Linked DNA regions of Rattus norvegicus. The protein of the gene in region 2 binds, or shares a complex with, the protein of the main gene of each other region. Links are inferred from orthologs where the notes say so. Each region holds a gene or a part of one and is shown on either strand. Other genes may lie near its edges.

Region 1 (4,324 bases), on a different chromosome or scaffold from region 2:
TAGCCCCTTCTTTCCCAGGCTCAGTAACAAGGCCCAGCATGGACTAGTGGACCTCGAAGGCTCTCCTCTAGACGTCTACAGTCTGTTGGCTGAATTTTAACTCGAGTCACCGTCGCCCTAACTCTCCTCTGAACAAAAAGTTCAGTGCCACAAATCTCCCTGTTAGGGCTGGAGTTGGCCTCTCTGATAGTTGGCTCAGCAGTTAACAGTTAACAGCACTTGTTCTTAAAAAGAACCAGAAACCAATTCCCAGCACCCACTTGGTGGTTCACAACCATCCCATAACTGTAGCCTGAGGGAATCTAAGGTCCTCTTCTGACCTCCACAGACACCCACATGATGCACATACATGCACTCAAGTGAAGCACTCATACACACAAAATAACAAAATAAATAAATTTATTAAAGAAAAGGAAAGTTTTATAAAAGCCTCTAAGACAGAGGTAAAGAGAAGGTAAGTGTCACCACATTTCTCCCTTTGCTTAATCTCCCCAATTCCAGCAGTTAACCCCTTCACTGCTTTGTCTGTCCTAAGCAAAATATATTCCTTTTTAGTTTAGCCAACTTTTACAGCCAAACTACAGAAAATGTTAGACTTAATTTACTTCAGTATCCTCAAAGCCAAACACCTGGTAGAAAGCCTTAAATGTCTACTTGTTAAATCAACAAATTAAATCAATCAGAGAAGAAAACAGAGGTCAGAAGATGGCATCAGATCCCATGGAGCTACCAATGGTTCTGAGCCACCATGTGGGTGGTGTAAACCAAACCCAGGTCCTCAGCAAGAGCAGCAGCCGCCAGTGCTCTGAACTGCTGAGCCATTGCTCCAGGCCCCTCCTGAGTCTTCTCTTATTCCTCAAAAGCCCAAAGTGGCCTTGAACTCAGTAATCCTCCAGCCTCAGTCTTCTGAGTTGTAGGTTTTAGGCATGAGTCATCAGATTCCTATTTCAAAGTTTTCTTATCCTAAAATATCTTTGGTTTGGATATAAATATTCATGAGCTGCTTTATAAAGGCCAGGGACACCATCTCTAACTTTGACCCTCTTTTGAATTAAGTCAACATTTATTGAGCACCTTTTGTATACAGTGCTTTGTCATCCATTTTCACATTTAAGGTCACAGCAAACACAAGGAGCATATGTTATTTTCCCTCTAAAGATAAAGGAGCTGGAGAAAGGGTTCAATGGTTAAGAACGTTGCTGCTCTTCCTAAGGGCCTAGCTTTGATCCCAGCACCCACATGGTGACTGGAAAACATTATAATTCCAGTTTCAGGGGATCTGGTCTAATACCCTCTTCTGGTCTGGACTGCACAGGCAAATGCGCGCGCGCGCACACACACACACACACACACACACACACACACACACACAGAGACTGAGAGGCAGAGACAGAGACAGACAGAGAGGAAGATGTTTTAAAAACAGATATAAGGGGCTGGAGAGATGGCTCAGCGGTTAAGAGCACCCGACTGCTCTTCCAGAGGTCCTGAGTTCAATTCCCAGCAACCACATGGTGGCTCACAACCATCTGTAAAGAGATCTGATGCCCTCTTCTGGTGTATCTGAAGACAGCTACAGTGTACTTATATATAATAAATGAATAAATCTTATATTTAAAAAAAAAACAGATATAAAATTAAAAATAAATACATCTATAAAGATAAACTAAACACTGAACCATGCTAGGTGGTACAAGTCTGTGACACCAACCCTGAGAGGGAGAAGCAAAACAATATGGATCTCAAGGTTTTCCTTGGCTACATGGAGATTTTAAGGCCAGCCTGGGTCAAACATTTAAGACAGGGTGATTCAGAGAGCCTCGTCCCACACTAAGTAAAAAGCAGCAGACTTTGGCCCATCTGCTGTCTCAAGCCCTCCATGTACCCTGCCACCCCTCAGGGAGTCTATAGAGACCTCAGGAAAGCAATGACCCTGGAAGTCTCTAGTGGCCTCTGTGAAGCTGCCTCTTAGGCGCCTTCAGTTGCTGTTCTTGGTTTACAGTGTCACTGTCCTGTCTTCTCTTTCTCCCTGCCCGCTGCCTAGAAACATGCCAAAGGGAGGCCAAGACCGCAAGGGAAGAGGCTGAGCGAGCCCTCCGAGAGCAAGATGGAACCCTGACTGAGCTTCGCGCCCATGTGGCACACATGGAGGCCAAATATGAGGAGATCTTGCATGTAAGCACCACTACCTGTCAGCCGTCTCCTAATTCTCATAACCCTCCATCCCTTTGCCCCCAATTGATGTGATAACCCATGACCTAAGGGGGCCGTGCTCTGTCCTAAGTGTAAAGAGAAGGCATAACCGTTGACAGAGCAGTGACTTGTAATCCCAGAACCTGGGCAGCTAACACAGGGAGATTTTGAGCTACAAAGGCCAAGAGGCACTATAATGTACTATGCACCTGCTACACTGTGAGATCGAGACTCAAAATAATCAGGGGATTACGTCGTTATATGGTGTCAGGACTATACACCAAAATAGAGATATAGGTCGATATCTAGCCTAGTATGCAAGGCCATGAGTTCAATTCCAGGCACAGAACTAGGACCAGGGATAGGAAGAGGAGTGAGGAGAAGGAGCAGGGAAGAAAAGGAGTGCCGCAGTCTTGTAATCCTGCTATTCAGGAGAATGAGGCAGACAAGTCATAGGTTCAAGGCCAACCAAGCAAGGTACAAAGTTCAAGGCCAGCATAGGCAGTGTAGTAAGAGACTGTATCTCAAAATACAAATTAAAAGAGCTCTGGATACACAGCCCTGGGACAGGATACTTGTCTAGCATGTGTGAGGCCTGAGTGTTGGGGAGTTGGGGACAGCAGGCAGCAGCCAGGCATGATGGTTCACGTTTGAAATCTAATACTTGGGAAGATGAGGCAGGAGGTTTCTGAGTTCGAAGCTAGCCTGGACTACAAAGCAAAGTTATCTTACAAAAAGGAAGGAAGGGAGGGAGGGAGGGAGGGAGGGAGGGAGGGAGGGAGGGAGGGAGGGAAGTGAAGCACTCTTACTAATCAAGCCAGGCAACCTGAGGTGATGCACTCCTTCCCTCCCTCCCTGAGAGCTGAAAGCTTGCTGTTCACAGGACAACCTGAACTGTCTCTTGGCCAAGCTGAGAGCTGTCAAGCCTCAGTGGGATGCAGCCACGCTGAGGCTCCACACCAGACACAAGGAGCAGCTACGGCGATTTGGTCTCAACCCCCTGGATCTTTGAGGCCACTGGCCTCAAATCTCTAAATATCAATATCAATAAAGCAACCTGATGTAGAAGTCAATAGAACTGTAGATTGTGGCCTCTGGCAGTGAGGACATCTATTTTCTAGGTTAACCCATTGTCCCATTGTCCTAACCCCTGAGTGATAAGAAATAGACAATGTTCTAAACCCTTTCCTACAGAAACTAGATCCCATTCCCTATAGCCTGGAGTACCTTCAGTCCCTTCAAACTGCCTTGGCTTAAGTGGGCACGGTAGTGCATGCCTTTAATCCCCACACTTGGGAGGCAGGGGGATCTCTGAGTTTGAGGCCAGCCTGGTCTACAAAGCAAGTTTCAGGACAGCCAGGGCTATACGGAGAAACCCTGTCTTGAAAAACCGAAACAAAACAAAACAAAACTATTTTGGATTATCCTGACCAATAAAACACAAATCCAGATATCCAGATGTGTGTGTGTGTGTGTGTGTGTGCGTGCGCGTATACATTTATTTATTTATTTATTTATTTATTTATTTATTTATTTATTTATTTATTTGAACAGTAGCATACTTGTACTAAAGTGCTCATATAGATGTCAGAGGACAACCTCCAGGAGGTTCTACTGTATGGTTCTAGTGAGTGAACTCGGGTTGTCAGACTTAGAAGACAGCAGCTTTACCTACTCACCGGCCAACTGGAAAAGGCTACAACAGGACATTACAATAGCCAAGAACCAGCTCCCAAGATTCCTAGGTATCAGTAGAAGGAACATATGGCTCCAGTCCTTCTGCCACATGACAACAGCATCACGTGTCCCCTAGCTTCAGTCCTAAGTGGTTCCACAGCCTCATCTTCTTGAACAGAACTTCATCTTTGGGGCACAGCTCCCCAAAACTTCTGCATAACATCCTGTGGAGTCTCAGGCTCCCTTACTAGCCGGCCTGAGGTCTCCGTCTACACCCCTGTGCTGGAGGTAGGCTCATGAGAAAGAGGAAGGTCCCTGCAGTCCTGCGATCAGTAGTGTCCGAATCCTCCAGTTCCCACTTCCAACTTAGACTGTTCCTGGCTCCTCCCATCTCCGTGTGCAGAGCAAGGGCAGGAGAATAGGCGAGTCTATGCCAAGCAGGGATGTCCTATAG
Region 2 (3,245 bases):
GGCTGGGGCGTGCGGGTGGGGCTCGGGCAGGGGTGAGGGGCGCGGGGAAGGCAGGACGGGACGAGGGGCAGGCTGTTTTCTTAGGTGTGGGCTCTGTGTCGTCTGGGCTGTAGGCTCTGGGCTCTGGGATGAGGAGACACCTCTGCTCATGATTCTTTATACATATCCCTGTTCCTTGTTATTCGGGGCTTTCTGGGTCTTGTGGGCTCAAGGTGTGTTGGGTGGGCTGGCTGGGCTGGGGGGTGTGGGCAGCTGAGGGAATGCAGCAGGCTCTTGTTTATTTTTGGCGAGGGCTCTCGTCTATGTCCATACCACCCTGAACCTTTCCAGGAGGTTTGTGCAAAAGGTGGTGAATGCTAGCACTCACTGGCTGGCCCAAGGTCACAATGCAAATAGAAGTACCTATGATGGCTGGAATGTTTCAGGTGTGTTTGGCTGGTGTAATTTGTGCAGAGTTTGGAGGCTGTTGTATCACCAGGGCTCTAAGTGTCAGGAAGTGGACAAACGTCTCCCTAGCAGAGGGCTTGAGGAAACAATTTTTCACAAGGAGATAACACAGAAAGTAATCATGCAAAAACTTTCATTGGTGTTTGTTAAGTGTTCAAAACAAAACTTGTGCAGGGTGTGAATTCCCAGGGGAGAGGGGCAGAGTAACTGACAAGCTGCAGGCTGCTGTAGATGGCTATGTCGGCGCACCCACAAGTCCTGCAGGGCCCTGTCCCAGTGTCTGTCCAATCACTGCTGTCTCCAGGGGCTTGAACCCCACATTGTCCAGGGGGATCCCGAAGGCCAATAACTTTGCCTCATATGTACGCAACAGGTCGTTGTGGGCCTGCAAGGACAGAGCAAGGTCAAGAAGAGTCCACTTGGGCCTGGGAGTCGCAGCCATCATGCTATGGACCCCAAATGTCCCCTCTGTCTGCTGAAGGTGTAGGGTGGTCCACAGAGCTCCAATTAGGATAGCCAGTGCCTTCTGTAGTCTAGAGCCTCGCTTGCGTATGCCTGTAGCTCACATACTCACAAGGCCAGACTCAGGAGAACCGGAGCTCCTGGCCCTTTCCCAAATATTTCTCCCTAAGGCTCTCCTCTCCTTCCCTGCCAAGATGGACTGACATCTAATCCCTGTCCCTGGAGACCACATCCCCTCCAACTCCCCAGTGACACGCAGGGGTATGGTGTGTGTTTGTGGGGGTGGGGGGGTTGGGCCCCTGGAATGGTGCTGGTGGCCAACAAAGACAGGGGACTTCCTCTGAGGGAGCTTGCTCTTTTTTTTTTTTTTTTTTTTTTTTCCCTTTTCTCTTTTTGAATCCAGGGCCTTGTGCTTGCTAGGCAAGCACTCTACTACTGAGCTAAATCCCCAACACTGAGGGAGCTTGATCTTAATCCTGTTTTCGTTTTTTGGTGTTTTGTTTTTATGTGGGAAAAGGCCCCACTATGTAGCCTGGGCTAGAACTTGCTGTATCCCCAGAATGGCCTCACACTCAAAATCTCACTGCTTCACTTTTCCCTGCAGTGATTCTGGAACCACTCCCCAGGCCACGTCCTGTGCTCAGGAGTGGTGACCAAAAGAAGGTTTCAGTTTTGTTTCTGTTGACTTTTTGTTTCATTTTTGTGGAGTTTTTTTTTTTTTGTTTGTTTGTTTGTTTTTGAGAGAGAGAAAGACAGAAGGGGGCAGGAGAGCGAGCATACAGCTGGAGGTGGGGTAGGTAGGAAGACTTTTGGGAAAGGAAAAACATCCAAATATAGTGTGAGAAAATTTTTAATGATTAAAGTCACTACTGTCTTGGCCGGGTGAGTGCTAAGATTACAAGATTACAGTACACACCTTGTTAAATGGGTGTTTTTTCTCCTCTTTATGCAGGATCCCTAAATAGCCCTTGATGGCCTGGAACTTGCTATATACACCAGGCTGGCCTAGAATTAAACACCATCCACCTGCTCCTGTCTCTTGAGAGGTGGGATTAAAGGGGATATGCCACCACACCTTGTAGTTTAGTGCTTTTTATTGTTACTACACACATGTATGGGAAGGCACGCACAGCTTATGTGCAGATGCCCTAAAAGGCCAGAAGAGAAAGTCTGACTCCTTGGTGCAGAAGTTACAGGCAGCTGTGAGCTTCCCCCATGTGGATGCTGAACAAAACTCCACTGATGTCAACAACCCCAAATGCACATTTTAACTGGGAGCCTTTCATCAGGTAGCTGTGAAGTCTTGGTCTGAGAGAGGGCCTCACTCTGCAGCACAGGCTGCCCTTGAGCCCAAGCTCCGCCTGCCTCTGGCTCAGAGGTGTTGATGAATTGAGTGGAATGAGAAATGCTTTGAGCCTACCCAAATGTTCACAGCAGACGGCAGAAGGGTTCCTGAGCTGGGGGTGTAGCACACACCTTTAATCCCAGTCTCAGGAGGCAGAGATGGACAGATCTCTGTGACTTCCAAGCTAACCAGGGCCATACAGTGGGTCTGTGTCTCAAACAGAGCCAGAGAAAAGGGCCAGGAGGAGATGGTGCAGGCAGGTGGATCTTGGAGTTCAAGGCTAGCCTGGTCTACAGAGCAAGTTCCTGGACAGTCAGGGCTACACGGAGAAACCCGGACTGGAAACCAAACAGAGAAGAAGAAAAGGGTTGGTTATCCTCACTGAGGCTCAGGGAAGAGAAGCAGTGCTTGAAAACGGAGAGAAAGGGCCAAGTAAAAATGGGCTCCAGCGGGAGCTTCAAGGACTGGGCTGGCTACCAACACTCTAGGTCCAGACCTTGGCCCCCAAGAGCCAAGGTACACACAGCAGACTGCCCTATGCTCAGCCCATGTCAGCTGAGGATCAGGTGTGAGAAGCTCTAACCTGGGCTCTAGGGAGAGCTGGGAAGCTGGGGCAGCTGGGATAGCATGGATCCTGGGCCACAGTAACAGATGCTGCTCACTTCTATTAGCAATCAAACAGGATGGCATGCATGTCTGGATGAGGCCCTGAACTGAACAGGAATGCAATGCCTGCCCAACAGGACTAAGAATGTAACCTGTGAGGTGGCTGCTGTGGGTATGTCCTTGGCGGACAGGGAGCAAAGGAAGGACAGTAGACCCTTAGGACCATCTGGATGTAGCACCCAGGCCTCTCAGGTGCATGGGACAGACGGCAGCCGAGGTCTGGCAGGAGGCCACTGACACACACGTTCAGCATGGAAGGGCATCGGGCTATTTAGATTACAAGAGTATGAGAAAAGGTGGGAGCCCAAACTGCTCCTGCTGAAGG

Evidence for each region.
Region 1: Gas8 (region 2) and Drc12 share a complex: the UniProt entries of both Homo sapiens proteins name them as parts of the nexin-dynein regulatory complex. The link is inferred for Rattus norvegicus from reciprocal best matches to the Homo sapiens genes DRC4 and DRC12.

The regions. Positions count from the first base shown.
Region 1 is NC_086026.1:53,477,519-53,481,842, forward strand, and holds the end of Drc12 (coiled-coil domain-containing protein 153), read left to right. Parts: intron 1-2,044; coding exon 2,045-2,175; intron 2,176-3,053; coding exon of another isoform or gene 3,054-3,059; exon of another isoform or gene 3,060-3,076; coding exon 3,077-3,205; 3' UTR 3,206-3,646; downstream 3,647-4,324. Other genes in the region: Nherf4 (Na(+)/H(+) exchange regulatory cofactor NHE-RF4), read right to left, coding at 4,319-4,324. UniProt on the Homo sapiens protein: Component of the nexin-dynein regulatory complex (N-DRC), a key regulator of ciliary/flagellar motility which maintains the alignment and integrity of the distal axoneme and regulates microtubule sliding in motile axonemes.
Region 2 is NC_086037.1:68,478,129-68,481,373, reverse strand, and holds the end of Gas8 (dynein regulatory complex subunit 4), read right to left. Parts: intron 2,593-3,245; coding exon of another isoform or gene 2,545-2,592; exon of another isoform or gene 1,744-2,544; intron 833-1,743; coding exon 683-832; 3' UTR 567-682; downstream 1-566. UniProt on the Homo sapiens protein: Component of the nexin-dynein regulatory complex (N-DRC), a key regulator of ciliary/flagellar motility which maintains the alignment and integrity of the distal axoneme and regulates microtubule sliding in motile axonemes.